Linked DNA regions of Schizosaccharomyces pombe. Changing the gene in region 2 together with the main gene of any one other region gives a genetic interaction. Each region holds a gene or a part of one and is shown on either strand. Other genes may lie near its edges. The genes, in order: mug27, dma1, spo3 and cdc7.

Region 1 (4,505 bases), on a different chromosome or scaffold from region 2:
GGATCGAAAAGACCACTCTTTAAATTTAAATTTTTCACGTTGATAGCGGAAAAATCCACGGCAGATGAAAACGTCTGTTCCGATTTTTTTTTCGACACTATTTCGAGCTCTTTGAAGGGGCTAAGATTTCGCTGTGACTGAATATTCGATGCAGAATCGGAAAATGACGGTACTTCATGAATCAGGGTATTGGTAGGTACTTCGTCAAACTCTTCCGATTTCTTAAACTGAGCCAAAGGATGAAGATAATCATCGTTAGAGCTAATTTCAATGGCATGGGTGTCTGAGCTAGGCTCGATATCATAATCAATTGTCGTTCTGTCCCACTCGTGAGCACTCCCAGTGCCGCCATTGCTAACTAGCATTTCTATGGCTTTAATGGTTATAATGCCTTCTATCTTCTATTTCACTTTCAAAGAGCGAGGAATGAAAATTGAATTCAAGGCTGCAACTGGATATAGGTGAAGGGTAAAAATTTATCTGTCAAACTGATGACTCGATCCGAGGGTCACGTCATGAAGCTAACGAAGCGACGTTATATCGTCGGACTTAAAAGTTTATTTGAATATAAACTACTTTTAAGCGTACAGGTTGATCTACCTACAAGAAAGATACGTTTACAGTAGAATTTTCAAAATTTTAGTGGGTTTTCAGCTGGATTAAGGATGCAGTTCTCTCTAAACAGTCAAGAATTAACTATTTACTTATAATTAATATTCATATCTCCCTTTTATGGAGAAATATGCTGATTAGTTTCGAGCGGAATACGCTGCTTGGCTCATCGATTCCGAATATGCTGTGGCTCAGAACGCTTTTCATGTCGCAATAACGAGACTTTTCGGCGTTTCTCAATGGTAATTGATGCGTTATTATCTGGATTTAGAGCAAAAATTCATACAGGTCTTTGCCTTTTCTTTCCAGAAGCCGATGGACTCTTGATGACTTAGTTTTGTGACCCTTTGTTTTTGATCGCTTGTCCTCATCCAGGTCCTCAATAGCAGTGGTGCCTTTGTTATGACTAACGGTGATTAAATCCTTTTGTTTAGTGCTATTATTTTTCTTCTCCGGTTTCTCTTTGCGAAGTTGTCGCTTTTCACGATGCCGACCCACCAGTGGCTTTCTTGCGTTGGGTCGATACTTGAAGGTGAAACCAAGAAATTGTCTTTGATTACCGTTCATAACTCCATTGCTTTTTGCTTTTTGCTCTGCCTTCCTTTGCTTTTCGTACACATCTTTGTACGCATCTAGTACCTGTTCGTCATTGAAATCATCAAAATAGGAAGTATCAAGTTGATTCTCCAAGCGGGGAACAAATGGTGGCACAGCTCTTTTCCGCAAACCGTTCCAATGGAGTCTCTTAAAAAATGGATGCTTTTGGATTTCGATTGTGCTTTGAAATCTTGACGTTGGTTCTGTTAGACACTTGGTGATGAAAGACCATGCCTCGTCTGAAACCGATCTCGCTTTTTTGTCGTAAATTCCATTTTCATTTTTGGAGGGTCTCTGCAACATTTCTCGCCAGTAGTATAGATTAGTCCACGTTTCTTGGAGCGTTGACCCAGAAAAGGGAGGATATCCTACCAGACATTCATAACATATGCAGCCAAGTGACCAGTAGTCTACGGTCCTATCGTATTTCTTTCCGTAAACAACTTCTGGAGCCATGTATTCAGGAGATCCAACAACGGAATTTACCTAATTTTTTTTTAGTTTACGTTTGAATCAAAATGTCTTTACCTTGTTCTCATTCTTTTCCAAAAGCGCTTTATAAATGTTTCTTCTTTGCTTTTGTGTTAAATAAGGTCTCTGAGGATTAACCGCGCTCACTAGTGCATGTTGAAGTCGATTTACCTGATTCGATGTAACAATTGCAGTACTTAGCCCAAAGTCACTAAGCTTGATATGTCCCTTTTGATCAATTAAAAAGTTCTCGGGCTTTAAATCACGATGCATATAACCTAGTTTGTGGACTGCACTGATTGCAGCGACCATTTCTGCTAGGTAAAATCGGGTTTGATTTTCATGCAAAAGCCCCTTGGTAGTCAAAAAAGTTCGAAAATCTCCTCCAGGGACGTATTCCATTGCTAGATATACTTTTTCCTTATCTTGAAAGGCATAATACAGTTTTACAAGCCATTCGGAATTAGTATTCGTTAGTATATCTCTTTCATTCAATATGTGTTTCACCTGAGCCGTTGTTAGTTTTCTTTTAAGATCTTTAATAGTGTCTTCTTACTTCATTAAGTTGCTGTAATGTTGATTTTTTCATCATTTTCATTGCTAACAATTCGTGTGTGTTGCGCTTTTTAGCAAGCCACACAGAACCATATCCTCCTTGTCCAAGCTTTACTAATAAATCGAAATGGCTACATTGAATCTTGGTTCTTTTTTTTCTCAAAAATGCTCTTTCCCTTCCACAATGCTCTTTCCATAGTCGCTTCTGTTTAGATTGTTTTAATGACGATGTACACGCTGTAAATTCTTCCAATCTTTCCTTCCTTAGTTTATGGTACTCAATTGTGCTAATATAGTAATTGAGGAAGAAAACTTGACAGGCCATCCGCTTTCTTCTTGTCTCGGGTCGACTAAGTATTTCAACTTCACTGGGCTTTAGTAATTGGTAGTAAGTTAAACCTTTAGGATCATTTCTTTTCGTCCAGCAATTTTGTCTTTCTTCGTTGAGCACCATGCGTTCATTTTTCGAAGACACACTTGCTGACGCATTTTCCCTGTCTCGTAAATAGCCGCTTGATAGTAAAAATAAATCAGAAAATTCGACTCCATTTTCTTTTGCCTTTGATACTAGTTTGTTATTGTCTAATTCTTTAAGGCCCAGTAGGTCCATTCTATGTTTGTGGAATCGTTCTATAAAATTGTCCCAAGTGAATTGCTTTTTCCATGCAATGGATTCTTTCCTTTTTTTGCTCCTATTCAAGTTTATGTGAGCTCAATTTTGAAATTTATTTTGAGTACACGTTGTGCCTGAATAAAACTCGATTCTCCCAGCAAATGTAAACAAACACCGGGTTCTGGGAATTTTTACAAAGATGATACATGCGCAGTAAAATTTACTTAAAAAAGGTTAAATAAAAAATTATATTTCGAATTCTTTTGCGCGATTAAAATAAATTTTTTTTACGAATATGTGTGATTATTTCCTTTATAATCAGGGAGATACAAACACCAAAATGGTTAATCGAGAACAAAAAAAAATAAAAAATAAATATAAATCTTGGAATTAGCTTATTTTGTCAATTAAATTCTCCAACTAAGTAGATATGTACTGGTGATTAAGAAAAGCTATATACTTCAACCGCAAACTATCCAGATTATTATTTATGTTCTTGTGATGATATAGAAGGAGACCTAGAATTGCTTTCTTTATCCGTTTTTATTTGCCTTGAAAGACTCCTGTTTTGTCGAATCAAATCTTGAAGCCTTTCTCTGGCACCCAACTTGTCTCTTTTACGACCTTCTTGCTCAGCCTTGAGTTGAAACTCCATCTCTCTTAGTCTCAACTGCCATATATGGCTCATTCCTTCAGCATCTCGTTTCAAAGCTGTGATACCTCTTTGAACTGCTGACTTATCTGGAGAAGCGGGAACAAGCTTTTTATCCTCGGAATCCAAACTAACGCGTTTTGAAGCCCTTGGCGAATTTGGAATAGATGAAGTTGACCCAGCGCCTAAAAGTTTCACTCGTTCTTCCAACTGTGATAAACGCTTACTTCTAGCCTCAAGTACACCATCAAGCTTCCTGAGTTCGGTCTTAAATTCCCGCTCCATTGATTGACACTTCCGTTTGAATTCTTGAATGGATTTGTCCAACTCCCTAAAATTCATATTTACTGCCTGATTCATGCTTGAAATTGTCGTCAATGCTTCAACGTTGGTATTTACAGGCTTACTTCCCGTATTCAGTTGGGTAAAACGAGTGACAATGTTTTTTATGAGGGAATTTCTTTCTTCCACTTGCTCTTTAAGGCGTTTTTCAGATGCTTGTAAAAGTTTAAGTTCTCTAGATTGACTCCTTTCAGAAGGACTGGAAGATCCAGAGAGGTTTCTTCTGAAAGCTTGTGAAGACAAATTTTCCAACTCTAATTGGATTGCTTTTTTGGATCGTCTTTCCGCATCCAGTAAGTTCTTTAACTCCTTCTTTTCAGACACTAACGTCTCCAAAGAGTTTGTTTTTTCTTTTAAACTTTGCTCACAATGGTAGATTTTTTTCATCAACTTATCAGTACCAGACTGATCCTTTTTATTCTCATCTTTTAGTTTTCTTATCTGTTGTACCAAATGGTTAACCGAGCAGTGGGTGACCTGTTTATCAAATGTTTCCATAATAGCATTCTGCAAAGAATCGAAATTTTCGCGAAGGGTAACGTATTGATTATTTCTTTCCTCAATCTCACTTTTTAAAGAAGAGTTTGATGACAATATACCTTCAAATTCACGAAGTTTTTTATTTAATGAATCTAATTCGTCATTGTGCCTTTCCTTCAAGTT
Region 2 (4,257 bases):
GTCATCGATAGTTTCCTCAAAAATTAAACTATCACTATTTTTTTTAACTATCATAATGATACCAATGTCACTCACTCTTTTGCCATACTAACATCGCCTCAGGAATCAGGGCCTTTATTAGATCGGCTGAAAAAAATCATTGATGAAGAAATGGTGAAAGATCGCACACTCAAAAGTAAAGACCAGTTTAGGGCTGCTCCTTTAATTGCAGGTGCCGTAGATAGGTAAGCTTACGACTTAATAATGGTTTTTTTTCTTTTCTTTTTGGAAACTCAGTCTAACCCATAAGATCTTCATTGTATGAAGATAGCATGGAACACATCCGAAGCAATGTTTTATCTGATCAAGATTTGAGGGAAGTTATTTATAATTCTCTTGAACAAATAGGGATTGAACAAATAGAGCATGAGGATGAAGAAAAATTGCTGAATAGTAAAACCATGGATGGGCGCAAATGAAGATAATTAGCTACTTAAAAGTTTGAAAAAGTTTTGTTATTGATTACTTCTAAATTGCATATACTGAACATACTTATTACAATTAAGAATTGTACTCTCGGGAATTTTACCAGCAATCACATTAGGTTGCATAAGAAGTGAATTAAAAGTTATAACATTTAATGATGCTGAAGGAGATAATAAATGGACTCTCAGAAGAACAACCACAATTCTTTCAGATTCGGATCTCTATTACTGCTGATTATTAGTACATTCATTTGTGATGCCAATGTTTCAAAAAAAATAAAAAAATGTGAGAGTATGTAGAGATCAGGTGTGAAGGACGACAGAAGTTAAGATTATATATCCATTTAGGATAATTATATTAATGCAGTAATGAATAAAAGAGACCAAGTAGCACTTGGTTTTCTCATCAATAAAATATTTAATCATTATGAGTGTTGATAAATAAAGTTAGGGAGGCATGCTTGTTTAATTCAATCATCAGGCAACAGCAAATGTCAAAGAGCCTGTGTTCCCATAATCTTCTGCCATGCTCATAAAGACTAAATATAATATGATCATTATGTTACGATGGTCATTAAAGGAAGAACTTGAGGACGTAAAAGACAATTAGTAACCATACTGAAAATAACAGTTTACTCAGATGCATCGTCTTTTACCGTTGCATTTCGTAGAAGGTCATTTAGACTTTCGTCACCTTCTTCAACAGGAGCCTCCAAATCATGATATTTTCTACATATAAAGCAACTGAAGTATGGGTGACTTTCGTTTAGGGTTGGGCGTATGCATTTATAGTGATAAGAGTGAGAACAAGGTGCAACGAACAATGCTTGACAAGGTAAAACAGGCATAAGACATATACAACATTCCGGAGGACCCGATTCAGAAGATCCGCATAACACCAGTTCTTGCATTCTTTTGAATTCGTTAAGGTTGTAAGGACTAAGCTTAATTTTCCAAGAGTTGTTTAGCTCAACTCGGGCACGAACACAACGATAGTTGACTTCATGACCTCCTCTATAATCCGCCCCAAGTTGTAATATGTCGTTGTTCGAGATGGGATAAGGCTTACTCGTTTTTGACGGCGGTGATAAACGAACATGGTTCAAAAATGTACCAGAACTAGAACCCATATCTTGAATGTACCAAGTATTGTTTTCATAAAATATTTGTGCATGCCTTCTACTCACAACTTTGGAACGGAAGACAATAGCAGAAACATCACCGCCGTTGTATCGCTCTGTGTATCTTCCTATGTAAATGGGTAGATTATTTTGCTTGCGGTTCCAGTAGCGAACTAACGGATCAAAAGAGAAAGAATGTGCATTGGGACCGACAAAGTTAGTTAAACGAATTGATATTTTATCGTCGTCCTTTTCAGAATCAGTCTCAGCGGCAAGTTCCTGTTCTTTGAGGTATCCCTCAACAGATTTTGTCATTTTTTGGAAAGAAAAGCTTTATTAAAACAATTGAATGGAGGATAGAAAGTTACAAAAAACAAATAAATTAATGTTAAAAGCTTTTGAAAATTGTCTTCCGTATACCAATTTGATGTTATCCAAGAAAAAGTTCAAAGAAATATGCCTTCCTTCTAGTAAATTGAAGATAAGGTAAGTTTCAAATCTATTGCTAACAAAATACGAAAGTATATGGGGTTGTTGTGTTTATGTATTAAAGTTTGGAAGCAACAAGAGACAAAAACGAAAACAAAGGCCTCAAAAACAAACAAACTGTTGAAAGCTAAGGAAGGACAGCAAACAGAACTCTTAACTGAATTGCACACTTTAATTCCGAAAAGAAACACTTTTAATAATCAACCAGAATTTAGCTGTAAATGAAAAGCAATCGAAAAAATGATAGTTTTCGCTGTTATCAGAAAAATATGTTATAAATTATGAAGCCAATTTAGTAGAACAAGTAAATTGCACACAGTAAACGGTCAAATGGTGCTGCAAACGAATACAGTTAATGCTATGCCGCCTCGAAAGGCGCATGACTAATTCGGTATCCAACTTACGGTACAACACAATGTTTTCTTCGGTATAGTAATTGTGCATTAAATAAAACAAAACAAATAATAAAAACAAATAAAAAACTAGATGCGTCGCATAAACAATGACGATGATGGTATTTTGTCTATCTTTGTCTCACCATACAGATGGACTTAAGCAACACCGTTTTTATGTTGAATAATTTATTGTTTTAGTATAATTTAGAATTTAGCTGAAAATCCATCAAACAAAAAGTAAGTTGAAATGAGTAGTTCCGAAAATATCTTTAGCATTTCTATTTTTATAGATTTGGACTTGAGTCATTTCATGGTATATATCCCTTTCCGATCACGGTAGACAATTGTGAAATTACTTGCTTTTAATAGACTATATTAGAAAACTAGAACGAAACTAAATGAAATACAAGGATTTATGATAATTCTATGAAAATGAAAAGATAGACAGGTCAAAACTTCAAAGCAAATGAAGCCTTTGTAGTAGCAAATGCCGAGTAATTTTAGGGACTGTGACTTTGAGTTTGCGATTCCAAATCATAATCAGACATGAAAGGTAAAGAATCAGAACGAGTTTGGTCATACTTTTCATTGGAAGAAGTGAAACGATGGAAAATCTTCCAACGGGACGGAGATGTCTTAGAAAACGGAGATGAAAATACCCGTCGACCAGTGCGGGAGACACGAGCGGCAGGCTTCAAAGCATAGCCAAATATAAAATATACAACAATGAAAAACGTCAAAAAACCAAGAAATGTAAAAATGGCCCAGTGATGCAACATATAGAATACAAATCCAGCGTCACTATCGTGCCATGATGAACCTTCATAAATTTCAAAAAATGCATGGTGGCTCTTTTCATACAATTCGGGAACCATCACCCAAATATGATGCCAAGCTTCGGCATCTGGAAGCTTCCGCCAAGCACTCCATATTATCGACAAGAACAATGGACCAGTCGAATACATTACGGTTAGGTAAGGGAAGTGGTAATTAAACGCGAATCTAGGTAGGTTTCTGACCACCTGTAAAAGAAATGGATGCCCTTTAGCAAATCCCATTACATTATTGCTAATCCCACTTGGGGAAGTTCTCCTCACCCATGCTGGATAATGCAATAAGGGATCAAGGGTTCGATTACAACCAACATCCAAATCCAAATATATTCCACCGTATTTGTAAAGAATAAAGTATCGAACGACATCAGCCCGTTCAATATTGTAAGGATAAGAATCATATTGAGTCAAAAACCAAGGATAATCAGTAGCAATAAACTCCCTCATGGATTCATCAGTCCACAATACATATTCATAATCAGGATGTAGATCAATGCAACTTTTCTGGGCACCAACCCATTTTTCCGGAATTTCGTTGGTTTTCCAAGTCTGATGTATAATTTTAGGAATAGCAGCAGACTGGTTTGAATAAATTTCATGATTATAAACGTCATCAACTTTAAGAAGGTCTGTCTTATAATTAATAAAGAACAGCATCATTGGACCTCCAAAAAGATAAACAGTAGCGGAAAGAATTAGTGTCAAAAAGAAAAAAAAGTAAAAAAGTATTTTGTTCATGGTGGCATCAAATATACGCTTCCAGCGAAATAAAATCAGGTCAGTTGTATATTCGTGCTTGGTAGATTCAGCACACAAAAAGAAATTTTGCAATAAAAGTATTTTAGTTGAAGTTAGATAATGCTAGATTTTAACAGATTCTAGTAAGAGGCAAGTTTTTGGTTCTCACTCTTTGCTTGCTTTTTAGGCAGTGTAATTAATTGGACTAAGAGGAAGG
Region 3 (6,418 bases), 310 kb from region 2:
AAGAATATATAGGACTTAGTTCGTTAGAAATGAAAAAGAAAAATATCCTTTACCATAAATTACTTGACATATTGTTTAGTTATGTTCGTTATGCAAACGGGACGTTCTAAGCTATATGAAAACGCAGTGATTGTAAGCACTTTGTCGATGTAGTATTTCGTTGAATTTCGTTGTTAGTGGAATTAAAGAGATGCAGATAGGGTACGGTAATATTGAAGTGGTCTTCAGTATGCCAGGAACAAATGCTGAATACCTGAATAAAAATATAAGAATGCGCTAGTAATCTTTAAATCATGTGCGGGCTTCCACAGGTAACATAACAACTTGTAAATAGGATTAAAAACATTATGCCAATAGAAACATCTTAATAATATATATGGAAGACATTGATGACTTTGGACTTTTGGCACAAGTTCTCAACTCCTATTCGTATTTAGTTATCATTTGCGTGCCAACATAATGGATGTAAAAATTCATTCATTCTTTTGCTTACGATCAAGAGCAATTGTGTAGTTTTAGCCAGTTGAAATAAGTAATGAGTATAATTAATTTAATTTGATACGTGTTATATATGTAAAGTATATTCACAAGTCACATATATTATTGTGTTGAAAAAAATCGTTAACATTATCAAAAAACTAAAAAACTACATAATGCGAGGTGGAAGGTTCACAACTTGGTTGTTGAATCCTTCATACAAACGGTAAGCGTGATCCATGAGACATGCATAATCAAAGTAATTGAAGGTGTAGCAAGACATATATTCTCGTTTTCTTAACATAGCTTGCAAACCATCCATCCGTAAAGATAAATAATCGGTCGGGACTGTGTAATACTTTCTGATCTTAGCCATTAGCTGATGCAAAGCACGGACTTCCCACTTCTCTAAAAGTGGTATATTTTCAGGATTCTTATGTCGTAAGGCTCTAAGGACTCGAAGTTCTGCAGCCACCAGATAAGAATTTTCGGGCAGAGGCTCATATAAATCAAGATCAATTTTGTCAGGCTTTTGACGATTCAAACCAGCATGCTCTGCTCCAGCAAAAAGATTGCTTGCAGAAAGCTTAAACCAATGAGGGAACAAGGCACTGTTTATGTCTACCATTGGCGGAGTGCTAACACACAAATCTTTCCTCCACTGTCCGTTCATAATATAGGGAGATCCGGTCGGAATCCTTCCAGATTTCGAATAATTTAAGTACAGAACATCTGGATAAAACGTTCTCCATAGATCGTACTCATATCTCGTAAACGAAGTAGTTGGCTCTACAATCCGAAGAGAAAGTATCCTTCGTAGTATGCTAATTTCTTTATTTTCGTCAATTAGATAGTAGGCCATACGCTTCAGTACTTCATTTTTGTGTACTTCAGCACGAGAATGAGTTCCACAAAACTCATAAATTTCATTGGCAGAGTATTTAAAGGATAGCATATTGTGAAAATCTTTGAATGCCTCCTCTCTCTCTATTAATTCCTCTTCTGAAGGAGCGCAATGAATTTCAAACCCAAAATGTAATAAAATGTTGTTTCTCGTTGCTTCATAATCTAAAACAGAACCGTATATAACACGACCTATGCCGTCTGAAAAGACTTCGTATATGCTACCAGATCTCTTAAGAGGTTTAGATATAAATATGTTTTGGCATGCGTATTTGCTAAAATAGTCACACCTTTTTTCGTAAATTTCACCGGGTCGTGGAAACGGGACTTTCTCATTAGATTGAAGAAACTTTTCACGAAAAGCAGCTTTAAATTCAATTTCAGGAGAATAACGATAGTCGTCTCTCTTTTTCTGGCATGCCTTTTGAAACTCTTCATAGTAAAACTTTTTACCGCTCTCTAAAGGCGGCTCATTTAATGATATTAACTCTGCAATGGCTACCAATTCGTGACTAGTAAAAAGCCTGTCAGAGCTAAATCGAGATAATTTATTTAAAGGTTCTTCATAAATGACCGCTTTAGGCGGTTCACTTTTAACTTCGGTTAAGCGATCGCGACAGGAATCAGCTTCTTTGTCGAGGAATTCAAAGCATAATTGCGGAGTTATAAATGAAGTGTATCGTAAATTTAAATACCACCAATCCTCAAGTTCATCTTCAGATAGGATATCATCTATCGTTACAGCTTTTAAAGTTGATTCCTGTGTGAAAGCAGCATAATATAACGCAGCATAAACATATTCAAAATCCCCCTTAACTTTGTATTTTTGGATTAATCTCGTCTCCCTCAGACCCTTTGTTGACTTTAGATTACTCGAGGCGACAAAGGCTTGTTCAGTCATCAGCTGGGTCGAGCTTCTAAGGAGCTGCAAAATTGTCGGAATGTAAACAGTATCCGATTTAACTCGTCTAACATTGAAGTTTAAATGATTAGACACATAAGGGTTCGAAATCGCTCTCCTATCATAGTTTGAAAGTTTTTTAATCGTATCTTTATTTCCAAATACACCAAGCCAAAGTTTATTGTGAGGACCATCTCGCGCTCGCTGAAGATTTTTTAGTGATTCCTCACCTTTTATTATCATTGTCTCATAAACACGGAGACGCCATTCGACATATAGTGCAATAATGACCCTTGCATTAAAAAATGGTAATGCGTCAAGAAAGTCTGAGTCGGTAAGTGCTGTGCAATCATCCTTGAACAGTTGAAAGCGTTTTTTCACATTTCGGAAACCTTGAGGATTGTTTCTCCTAGCTTGATGATGAGCTGAAAAAGGTGGATACGTAGCAGAAGACTGGAACTTTGGAAAGTTTCTTTTAGTCTTCTCAATTTTTTTTTCATATTCCTTATCATAAACACCAAATTGATCAAAACAGTCTTCAAAATCACTTAGATTACTAACAACACTGGAAGCATCGCTATTACAGATGTAATCAACTGTGTCATTAGGTATCCATTCGCTATTGCTATTAAATCCAGTAAATTCGTTTTTTTGAGAGCTTAGTCCATCCAGGGAATCGTTAGACAACGTGCTTATTGTTGATGAAAGTGTTTCAGTCAAAGGACTGAAGGAGCCGTCGGCAGAAACAGCTGTAACTGCATTAATTTCTGAATCTCGCTTGTGATCAACCATAGATGGCTTTTTAATAAATTCAGGGGAAAGAAAATTTGTTTCCATTTGGGTTTCGTAAAAGTTGAAGCAGTTTTCACCGTTCACAATAGGAACCAAATTTACTGTTATAAGGGGATCAAGCTTATTTTTTTGAATCCTTGAAAATTTCCTGTTGTCGTCCAAATTTATCTGATGTGATAGATCATCCTGGATAACAAATGGCTCTTCTGAAAATAATGCTTGCTCCATATTGCTAGGGATGAAAGCAGGCTCAACTTCTGTAATTGAAACAGTAGGTATTTTCTTAAATTGTTGCTGTTTTTTCATTTCATCGATACCATTAGGTGAATAAAAAAAACGTTCTGTCGACAATTTACGACAAGCAATGTCTTCCTTACTTGACTTGATAGACGAAGCAGAGTCAAAAGAAGGGCATGCAGTAGGGCTAGGTGCTTGAAGATTTGCTGTGTCTCCCTCAACTGTTCTCCTAAATGGAGAATTAAGAGGTGTTAAGGGACGACATTCGCTATTAGGTGATGGAGTGTTTTGTTTGTCACAAGCAAACGCATTGATTTCTCCCCTTTCCAGTTCATCAATTGAAGAGTTTCTCTTTCGAGAATTAAAACTGAAAAGCCTTATTAAGCAATAAATGAAAATTCTGATGACAGACAAAATCCCCATTTTATTTTTGAATCAAATTACCACGAGGTAATGGCTTTTGAGACTAAACAAGAAAATATTATTTTATATAATATTTTCAAAAAGACTTATAGAAAAACTTATTATGAAACAGTATTCGTGGCAATTTTGAATACTTTTGATATAATAGGACGTAAACAATCGCTTTGAAAGAGATTAGAATAGGTCAGAATTAAAAAAATAAATAAATACAACACCCTAATAAGAGCGTTCCAGAGTTAAAGAAAGAAGAGTCAAAAAAATCGCGATATCGATACTAAACAAAATTGCGATCAGAAGAAGCACAAGGTGCCGAAAAAAAAATATTGACACAAGAAGATAAGAATGCAACAGTAATGATATTTGACAAAAATCAATCGGTAAAGAAAAGAAAGTTCGTACTAAAGGCTCTATATATACAAAAAAAATGCTGCTTTAAATATCACTCAAACCGAAACAATCGACTCTGTAAACAAACAGAAAAACAGTGCTTATTCGACAAAACATTCAAAAGTGTGGGGAAACTTTTATTAATCAGTTTCTTACTGGTTTAAACAAAATATAACAAGGCTGAGCAAAAAAAATAGGAGTCAAAGGCTTTACCAAAAGCTTGATGCGAGTGTTAACTCATTGAAGCGCACATCGTCCATCTTTTTTACTTGATGATCTACACATGATCATCTCTAACAATGAGGGAAGTTTTGCATTCAGATTATATGAGTTGTTTATACAAGTCGCATATGAACATTCTGAAACGAGGGTACGGAAATGATGGAATATACTTTAATAGTTTAAAGAGAGTTAAAATGAGTGCATCATCATATCTGGTATGCATTTTCGATTACAGGGAGAGGGTGGTACTGTAAAATTACCATTTTACAGCACGAAAACTCCTTTTGTTTATCAGTAGATTAAAAGGATACTCTCATTAGTAAGTTTAGTGGATTAAATAGTATTAACAGCATGTGCTTAAAAAATGTTGAAACATGTCGATGGCACTGTGATCGCATAATAATTCATTATGCTCATTGAAGTTAATATAAAACCAAAGGAAATCTAAGAGATTATAAGTCTCTTAGCTTTACTTAAAAGAGATTCTAAAATTCAAACTCTAAAGTGCGTCTGCAAACAGCTGTTTGCTGTAGCTGCTGGATTTATGAACCATGGTGAGGTGCGATTTGTAAACTAGAGAATGATAGCGAAACGCTCGTTAAAACGCCAATATCGCACTTTCTATGGACAGTATTATAAATTTGTAGTACAGCATCAAGCATAATATAATTCCCAGTAACTAACATAATGATCCCATTACTGTTAAATGTAATGTGTTATGGGTCAAAGCAAACAAGGCAAATTTGATAATGAACGAGATGATTTTTCGGTTCGGTTTCCAATTCGTTATTATAAACAGTCGTAACGGAGCGTCAAACCTTCATTTAGTAAAAAAAAAAAAAAAAAATTGACTAAGCAATACGAAATATCTATAGTAGATACATGCGTATTACTATTTTATATTATTGTTGAGCAAAGTGATAATGCAATAACGATGTTAACCGTAGTTCGGTAAAGACACATTCATACGATATTATATTCAATTTGTTTTGATTTACGATTTAGAGTTTTTAAACATAAGCAAACGAAGATCGGAATTAAACCAAAATAAATCTCGTGCCAAAAACAATAACTTCATAAGTAGAAGCTGTAGACACGTGAATAGAATATTTAAAGATGTTGTAATTGTTTTCCTGGGAGATTTCAAGAAGTGCTAACCGAAGCATGAGTAAACTAGGAGCTTTTCGATCACAGCAAGCAAGGCATGTCAGTTACTAGTCGTTGAAATTTTAGTAGGGTAAGCTTTAGCTTGATAGCGGTTGCTTGGAAAAAACAGTGTAACATTCAAAATCGGTTTCTTTTGAACCTGACAACATTACCGTAATAATTCAATCGCTCAATACGCCATTCGTGAAGGGTAGTAGCCTTTCTCTTACGAAGTTACTAAAAACTCAATTTTTTTTGTACCCTTAAGCGCTTACGAGTTCTTTTCTTCAACTTATTGCTACTCGAATAATAAATGTTAAACATATCTCGACTTGCTTTTCAGTTCGTTGATCCTCGCTATTTACAGTTTGTAACAAGTTAACTCGTCTATGAAGTCATCGATAGAAGGGCTTTAAAGTGTGCTATTTGCGAAACAACAGCAAATTTGTAGACTAGCACTTTACAAAAGTCTACTATCGTATTGCCGGTTCAAACTAAAATTTATGACCTCAGTTTCTACTAAATATAGTACGAATCATGATTAAATTGAGGTTAACAAAAGATGCGAAAGTAGGGTGTTGCTTCCTAATTTTTGGATTGTTAAACAACCTTCTCTACGTGATAATTTTATCCGCTGCCTTAGATTTGGTTGGCGCAAACGTTTCTAAGGGTGTGGTACTACTTTCTAATATTGTTCCTTCTTTGGCGTGCAAGTTGTCAGCATCAATTCTTCATGTTCATAAATTTAAGTTTGCAAAGAGAATCGGTTTTTGTGTTTTCATGTCCATATTAGGAATGCAATGGATTGCTTGGTCTTCCTCCGTCCCTTCGAAAATGCTTGGTGTATCTCTGGCAGCCATTTCATCGAGTTTTGGCGAAATCTCTTTCTTGCATCTATCAAGTCGTTATCACTCTGTGTCTTTACCGTGC
Region 4 (6,719 bases), on a different chromosome or scaffold from region 2:
TGAGACCATTGCTTAGTCTCAATATCATATATGTCGATGTCGTTAAGAACATAAAGACATTTTGTATCATCATTAAATCCCATACCACCAAAGAATATTAATTTGTTATTCCATAAATCCCCTGAATGGAAATACCGTGGTATCGGCTTTTGATTTCCTTGATATTCAACTTGCTTCCAGGAACAAGTGTTAAGATCAACTACATACATATCATTAACAAGCTGCGCATTTAATGCATCGCGTCCTCCATATACAAAAGCCTCGTCTCCATATTTTATAACTGACTCCCCAATCAGCGGTTTTGGGACATTATTTGAAGATAAACTAAATGTAGAAGTAAAAATGTTTGTTGAATTTCTCAAAGATATATTCCTTTTTACTTCTGACATAGATATAAACTGTTTAGCAACTCGACGTTAATAAGAAATATCAAAAAAGTGATTTTTCCTTCCACATAAAAATTAATAATTACTGAAATGCAAACAGTCAAAAAAGATTTATGCAATAAACAAAGCAGCAAATTAATAGCCAAAAATGAGAAGCATAAAAATCATTGTTGTCCTTTTGTTTTAGTGCATATTTCTTCCTGTATTGCACTATCGTAGCGTTAACTGATATAGTGAAGTTAACTTTTATGCACACCTAGATTTTAAAATTCGAAGCACTTGAATGAATAAATATAAATATACACTGTGATAAGCATATTATAAACCTTTCTCTTAACGTTTCTAAGATTCATCAATATAGATTCGGTAAATAAATAGTCTTCATTGCGGTACTCAATTAGATTGTATTTCAGGTATAAACACAACTGGTAACGTACTTACACATGGAATGATAATATATTAATATTAAAATTAGCAAAACTTTCGTTTAAAAAATATTGATTCCATAATCCCAACCTTATTTATTAATCATTAAGCCATAAATACAGAAATATCATAAACAAGTAATATAGTCGTGCACTGGGAAATGCGTTTAATAGTGTTCACTGCGTTAATGGCTGCTTTGGTTGCCATCTAGGTGGAGGCATATGCGGTTTCGAAATGGGGGATTTGTGCTCATTGATGGGACCCTGTGGTACCTTCAGGTATTTCAGCAGGTCTTTTGCTAGTTCTTTAACAAGCACAGAATCACTTGTTTGGTTCAAATTTGCAACCACATCTGGTAAACCACAATGCGCAATATAAGCAACACTTTGGCTACTAGCTTCACACATTGATTTCATAATTTGAAATATGTTTAGGACCACAATCGGCTTGGTCCCCTTATGAGTTAACTTTTCTTTAAATTTCTGGAATATTATAGGCTGGCCATAAGAGGCTGCCAATCTTGGGGAAATTTGACAAACCCTGCCCAAAGTATCTAGCATTCTGTTTGAGGAAGCTGATTGAGAAATACAGAACACCTTTAACACTAATTGTACGTTTCTCTTCTCTGCCAAAACACGTTGTACTTCACGGAGTTCAAACTGCAACCAAGATGCGATCGTATCAAATACCGCAGATTGCCAATTAAGATCTGATAATAACGAGAGAAAAAAATCTAAGCATTTATTTTGCCAAAGATAAATTCTCGACACTGGACCAGCCTGTGGCAAAGCTAATAATATCGGCAGCGCAAACTCCTTAAACAGTCTGTCTTTAATAATCACCTCTTGCAATAATGGAATAGCACCAGAAATAACAGCCTCTTCTTGCGATTTCTTATCTAGCTTACACACATTGAATAAAGCGGCCAAAGCTTCGCTTCTAATTTCTTTTCGTCCTTTCTCAATTTTGCTGTCACCGAGAATATGTGTCAAAAGAGGTATTATATGAACTTTCCTAAGAAGCGACAAAGATGAAGGAACCATTGAAAGTTGCTTGAAAAACTGTAAGGTAATCGCCATATCAGAATGCGGCAGATAAAGCAGAATACGCAATATCCTTCGAAGAGCACTTTCGCAAAGAAGTGATTCCTTAACATAATTATCAGCCTGAGATAAAGCCAATAAAATTTCACATATACGTGTTAATGACATTCTTGAAGAATCATCGTCAGTAGCCAAAGCTTTCAGCATGGCTTTGGTCAAGGGCTCTAGTGAATCATTTACAACCATCGTACAGATATCATTTTTTGGAATGTAATCCTGTTGTCTCAGTAATTTCCATATTCCTTCTACGCCAACAAAAACAAAGTCACGGTTCGTTCCATAGTCCTCTTTAATAAATAATAAAAGCGAATTCAGACCATTTGAGCTCAAAAACATTTGTAATGTCAAAGCAGAAGTTCTATACATCTGTTGAATAAAGATAGCACTTTCATATCTAAACTCAAAAGAGTGTTCACGATTAGAGAATGACAACATAAGCGGTAAACCTCCAGCAAAGCAAACTTTTTGTAAAGTTGTGTGATCATCGAATGCAACCTAACGTTAGTAAAATCACGCATTAAATATCCTTACAGTGTTAATGAGCTTTAATAACAGCAATTGAACATCAGGCGTTTTTATTTCGCGCAATGTCTCTAAAAGTGGAAGGATACCATGCGCTTGTATTATCTCTCGTTTTAGAGAAAGATCTTCACTAAGTATAGAAGCCTATTGTCAGTTAAATTATCAATATAAAAATATGCACTTACTATTTGCGAAACAGTTGTATCCTTCGATCCGATATTCTTGTCACGTAGTGAGCCTAACAGACTGGAAAGTAAGGAAGCTAGATGCGTTCTCTTATCTAAAGCAATGTTGTTTTCAATATCCAAGTTTTCTAAGTTTGTTTCAATAGAGTCAAAGATATCCGATTCTTCCCCATCCTCATTTTCTTCATTATTCCACGAGCCATAACATTTGTTTAAAACCAAAGTCCCCAGTCCAGTCTCCTTTCTCAATCCTTGAACTTTGATTGAGGATGTAGGGAAAATATCAGTAAATTCACTATCTCTGGGTGTCTCGACAAATTTTTCAATTCCGTCTGGTATATTCTCTTTAAACTCTAGATAATTAGTTATATGTTAGTATCAGATACTTACCAGTTGACAAGTATCTTTTATGTTGCGGAGTTTTTTGATGATCTATTGACCGGTTGAGAGCGGGCTAAAAAAAAGGTTAATTATTTATTTAAAATCATTAAAAGCTCTAGAAAATCGAGCTGCATTATTTACCTTAGAGGGATCAAATTGGGCTTTGAGAGGAGTACTCAACGGTGATGCATTAAAGTTGTTTGATTCAGAGATTTGATCTGAATTAAAAGCATGGCGAGACTTCGAAGGGGATGATGTTATGGAGCTGGAATTATTTTTTCCTTTAAAGTTACTGCAAAAATCCATAAAATGCTCAGATTTCTTTAAAACATCGTCACTGATTTTAAGGGTTCCTTGAAATTCATTGTCCCAGTTATCATGATCTAAAAATGTTAGAGTAGTTAAAAAGTATCATAAAGCTACCTGGGGACTCGGCAATTGGTGTTTTTGGAGACTCAGGCATGTGATAAGAAGACTGCCTGCCAGAATGAAGAGTCGGATTGATTCTGTTGGAAGTAGGCTCGATAATAGCTGTCAAAGTGCTTTCTTTCACTCTTTCATTATATTTTTGAACCTCGTCTATAGCGTCAGAAAATTTAGAGGAGGTTTGGTTCATTATCACCCAAGGATGTTTAAGAAGTTTTCTGGTCTTAATTCGTAAATTTGGGTCCTTTTGGAAACATTGCATTAAAAAACTTTTAGCAGCCGAAGAAATATTTGAAGGCAAGGGAGGATGTTCATCTTTCACCATCCGAAAAAGAGCGGACGTAGGATCTAAATCATAATAGGGAGGATTTCCATCTAACAGTTCAATAACTGTGCAGCCAACACTCCAAATATCTGAGGCTGTTGTGGCGCCTACAAGCTCTATAACCTCGGGAGCCACTATATAAATTGTTAGTAATGTTATAACTATACGCTTAGAAAAGGCTTACTCCAATAGGGGCTTCCAACAACACTATGATCCTCTAAAGCATTAATTTTCGTCGCAACCCCGAAATCTGCTAACTTGATAGTGCCATCTTTAGTAGTAAGTATATTGGCACCCTTAATATCACGATGGATAACACCCTGATTATGTAGATAAAGTAGCCCTTGTAATACTTGAAACGTATATAAGGCCACTAGGTTTTCTGGAATCTTTCCAAAGTTTTTACAAATTGAGCGCAACGATCCGTTTTCGCAATATCTATATATCGTTAACTTGAAAACAATTTTTTAAAGAAAATCACGTACTCCAGAATAATGCATAGAGAATCGTTCGTCTGATAAGATCCCCTATATTTAACAATATTTGGATGCTACCACGTTTAGTATTTGGCGACCATTATAAACGAATGAGTAACATACGTCCAAATTTTTAAGCAAATCAATCTCCATCTAAAAATTGTTAGAGAAAAATAGTTGAGATCCCTTCATACCTTAATGACGGAAAGATCAGATTTTAGCATTTTGGATAGTTTAACTTTTTTTACAGCCACCGTTTCTCCATTCTTTATATTTAGACCACGGTATACTGCACCGAAGGCACCCTTGCCCAAGCAATCCCCAAGAGTCTGAATATGTTATTGAAAATCCAATGGCTATTAACATTAAATACTAGCATACGATGGAAGATGCTTGGATATTGTGCATGACTATTGAATAAGTTACAAATTAAAAATTGAATTTATTTGTAATTTTGAATGAAAAGACAATTTGGTTTTGTTTACGATGTAGCATTTGCTGCGTTTGAAGAAGTAAGGACTTTATAGTGTACATACACATTTAGTACGGTACCTGAACTTGCATGTTATAAACTCAAAAGAAGTAAATAGTAATAATTAAGCTATTTATAAAATCATTAATAAACAAAGATTCTCGTATAAAAGAAAAAGCGTATTATACAGACATATAAAAAATATTGGCAAGGATGGAACTAATCCGTTGGTTAAGTAATGTCAGTGGAAACACCATGTACATAGGAAGAATGAGTTCATTTTAGCTTGGAAAGTAAAGTAGAAAAGACAGTGATTTAAACTACGTTAAACAAGTGTCTGATGGTTATGAATCCGAGGAATCAAACTTTTCCTTGTAATGGGTTTAGAAGCATCAAAATCAACTTCCTGTAAACTCTTATTTTCATGATCGGTAGAGAAGTTACTGCAACAATCCAGTTTCCGTACCCATGCAGTACCTAAAATACTATCCAACGACGGCCGATTCTGGGAATCAGGATTCAGTAAACTTAGTATAATCTTCTTAGCACCTTCAGGTATATATCTGAGGGGCTGCAATGTAGGTATTTGTTTAATGACTTCGGTTTGGAAACTGGATTCATCAGTTGAAGAAATACCACAAGTATCTGTAAGGATTGACATATACTTTGAGTAGTAAAGATCAGTTTTCACGGAAGTTTTAAATGGAAAGTATCCAGTAAACAGAACTTTAAGCAAAATACCACATGACCACCTATCTGCTAAAAGACCACAATATTCTATCAATTGAACTATTAGTACGTCGTTTTTGAAATAGGATAGAGCTCGTCTTGCTACACAATTTATACACATAAGACTTACCATTTTCATGAAATGCTTCTGGTGCTAGATATGCCAAACTTCCAACAGCACCCGATACGAAACGAATGGATTCGTTATCACCAGGATTACCCACAATTTCGCTGGTACCAAAATCGGTGAGCTTTAACAATCCATCCCTTCCGATTAAGATGTTTTCCGGCTTTAAATCTCGGTGCGCAATACGTTGAGATTGCAAGTAAGCTACTGCTTGAAGAATTTGCTTTAGATAACAACATTTGTCTTCTAAGGTCAAAACTTTTTCTTCAATTTGCTTAAATAAATCGCCTTGAGGACAGTACTCTTGAACCAAACAAAACCCAGCGGATTTATTAAATACGCTTGTCAAAGTCACACAAGGGCAGATAACTTTCAGAATATTAGGATGGTCCAATTTTGGTTGGATTGACCATTCCCTTAAAAAATAAACCATTGTATTCAATCTTTTTTTATGCGATGTTTTCGTTTTCCGATATACTTTGGCAGCATAGTATATCTTTGCGTCGGTGATTTTATCTCTGTGAGTTACAACCTTGATTGTAGAGGTGGCCCCTTTAGCTATTGATTTTAGATGCTGAAAGTCTAAGCGAAATCTTATTTCGGGTAATATACGCTTCAGTGAAGGATCTAATCCAATTGCGAAGTCAGACATTCCAATAAACGAAGGTTGAATTGAATGAACGGAAAGTAAGCTAGTATTACTGTCTAAGTATTCATTTTCTAACCATGGTGCAGTAATTGTACTTGGCTTTATAACGACGGAAGACTTCTTGGTTGTTGATTTAGAAACATTTATTGAAAAAAATTGGAAGAACTCTTTAGGAAATCTCCCAAAAATATTTTCAATCGAAAGACTATTCTTATTCTCTGAATTCCTTTGAATTGCTGAATTGTCCACGAAAATTGTCCCCTGGCGAAAAAAAGGATAATTAGTCATTAGTGACAAGCCGCTGAAGCTAAGAAGCCTAGTTACGACTTCAAATTGATTGATTTTTTATGTACTTCTTCTTTATTTTCTTACTAAAAAAAGAGTGTTTTCAGAACAACCTCATCATTTATTCTGTTTAGATAAAGAGTTACGTGTTAGCAACCTCAAAATTGCATAGTTGTAATCATAACGTCTTTGAAAGAAACGAAATTTCCAAAATCATATGCTCACGA

The links.
Region 1: of dma1 (region 2) and mug27, changing one enhances a phenotype caused by changing the other (phenotypic enhancement), as found in Schizosaccharomyces pombe (one study listed by BioGRID).
Region 3: of dma1 (region 2) and spo3, changing one enhances a phenotype caused by changing the other (phenotypic enhancement), as found in Schizosaccharomyces pombe (one study listed by BioGRID).
Region 4: of dma1 (region 2) and cdc7, changing one enhances a phenotype caused by changing the other (phenotypic enhancement), as found in Schizosaccharomyces pombe (one study listed by BioGRID).

The regions. Positions count from the first base shown.
Region 1 is NC_003421.2:1,676,592-1,681,096, forward strand, and holds mug27 (protein kinase Mug27/Slk1), read right to left. Parts: upstream 2,846-4,505; coding exon 2,237-2,845; exon of another isoform or gene 2,188-2,236; coding exon 1,738-2,187; exon of another isoform or gene 1,696-1,737; coding exon 880-1,695; 3' UTR 502-879; downstream 1-501. Other genes in the region: cfh2 (chitin synthase regulatory factor), read right to left, coding at 1-365; gamma tubulin complex linker Mto1, read right to left, coding at 3,333-4,505. UniProt on the Schizosaccharomyces pombe protein: Has a role in meiosis.
Region 2 is NC_003424.3:2,357,474-2,361,730, forward strand, and holds dma1 (mitotic spindle checkpoint ubiquitin ligase Dma1), read right to left. Parts: upstream 2,399-4,257; 5' UTR 1,901-2,398; coding exon 1,097-1,900; 3' UTR 555-1,096; downstream 1-554. Other genes in the region: Set1C complex subunit Shg1, read left to right, coding at 103-224, 290-458; mannosyltransferase Imt3, read right to left, coding at 2,970-4,040. UniProt on the Schizosaccharomyces pombe protein: Probable E3 ubiquitin-protein ligase which is a component of the spindle assembly checkpoint, required to prevent septum formation and premature exit from mitosis if spindle function is compromised.
Region 3 is NC_003424.3:2,051,260-2,057,677, reverse strand, and holds spo3 (sporulation protein Spo3), read right to left. Parts: upstream 4,881-6,418; 5' UTR 3,734-4,880; coding exon 647-3,733; 3' UTR 501-646; downstream 1-500. Other genes in the region: V-type ATPase V0 proteolipid subunit vma11, read right to left, coding at 1-14, 54-70; btn1 (battenin CLN3 family protein), read left to right, coding at 6,026-6,418. UniProt on the Schizosaccharomyces pombe protein: Has a role in spore morphogenesis. Involved in the assembly of the forespore membrane.
Region 4 is NC_003423.3:3,221,793-3,228,511, forward strand, and holds cdc7 (serine/threonine protein kinase SIN pathway Cdc7), read right to left. Parts: upstream 4,714-6,719; 5' UTR 4,639-4,713; coding exon 4,612-4,638; exon of another isoform or gene 4,560-4,611; coding exon 4,425-4,559; exon of another isoform or gene 4,384-4,424; coding exon 4,354-4,383; exon of another isoform or gene 4,305-4,353; coding exon 4,240-4,304; exon of another isoform or gene 4,193-4,239; coding exon 3,939-4,192; intron 3,889-3,938; coding exon 3,427-3,888; intron 3,387-3,426; coding exon 3,145-3,386; intron 3,077-3,144; coding exon 3,013-3,076; intron 2,976-3,012; coding exon 2,623-2,975; intron 2,582-2,622; coding exon 2,447-2,581; intron 2,411-2,446; coding exon 989-2,410; 3' UTR 559-988; downstream 1-558. Other genes in the region: Ras1-Scd pathway protein Ral2, read right to left, coding at 1-389; serine/threonine protein kinase Ppk24, read right to left, coding at 5,028-5,479, 5,562-6,495. UniProt on the Schizosaccharomyces pombe protein: Protein kinase essential for cell division. Plays a key role in initiation of septum formation and cytokinesis.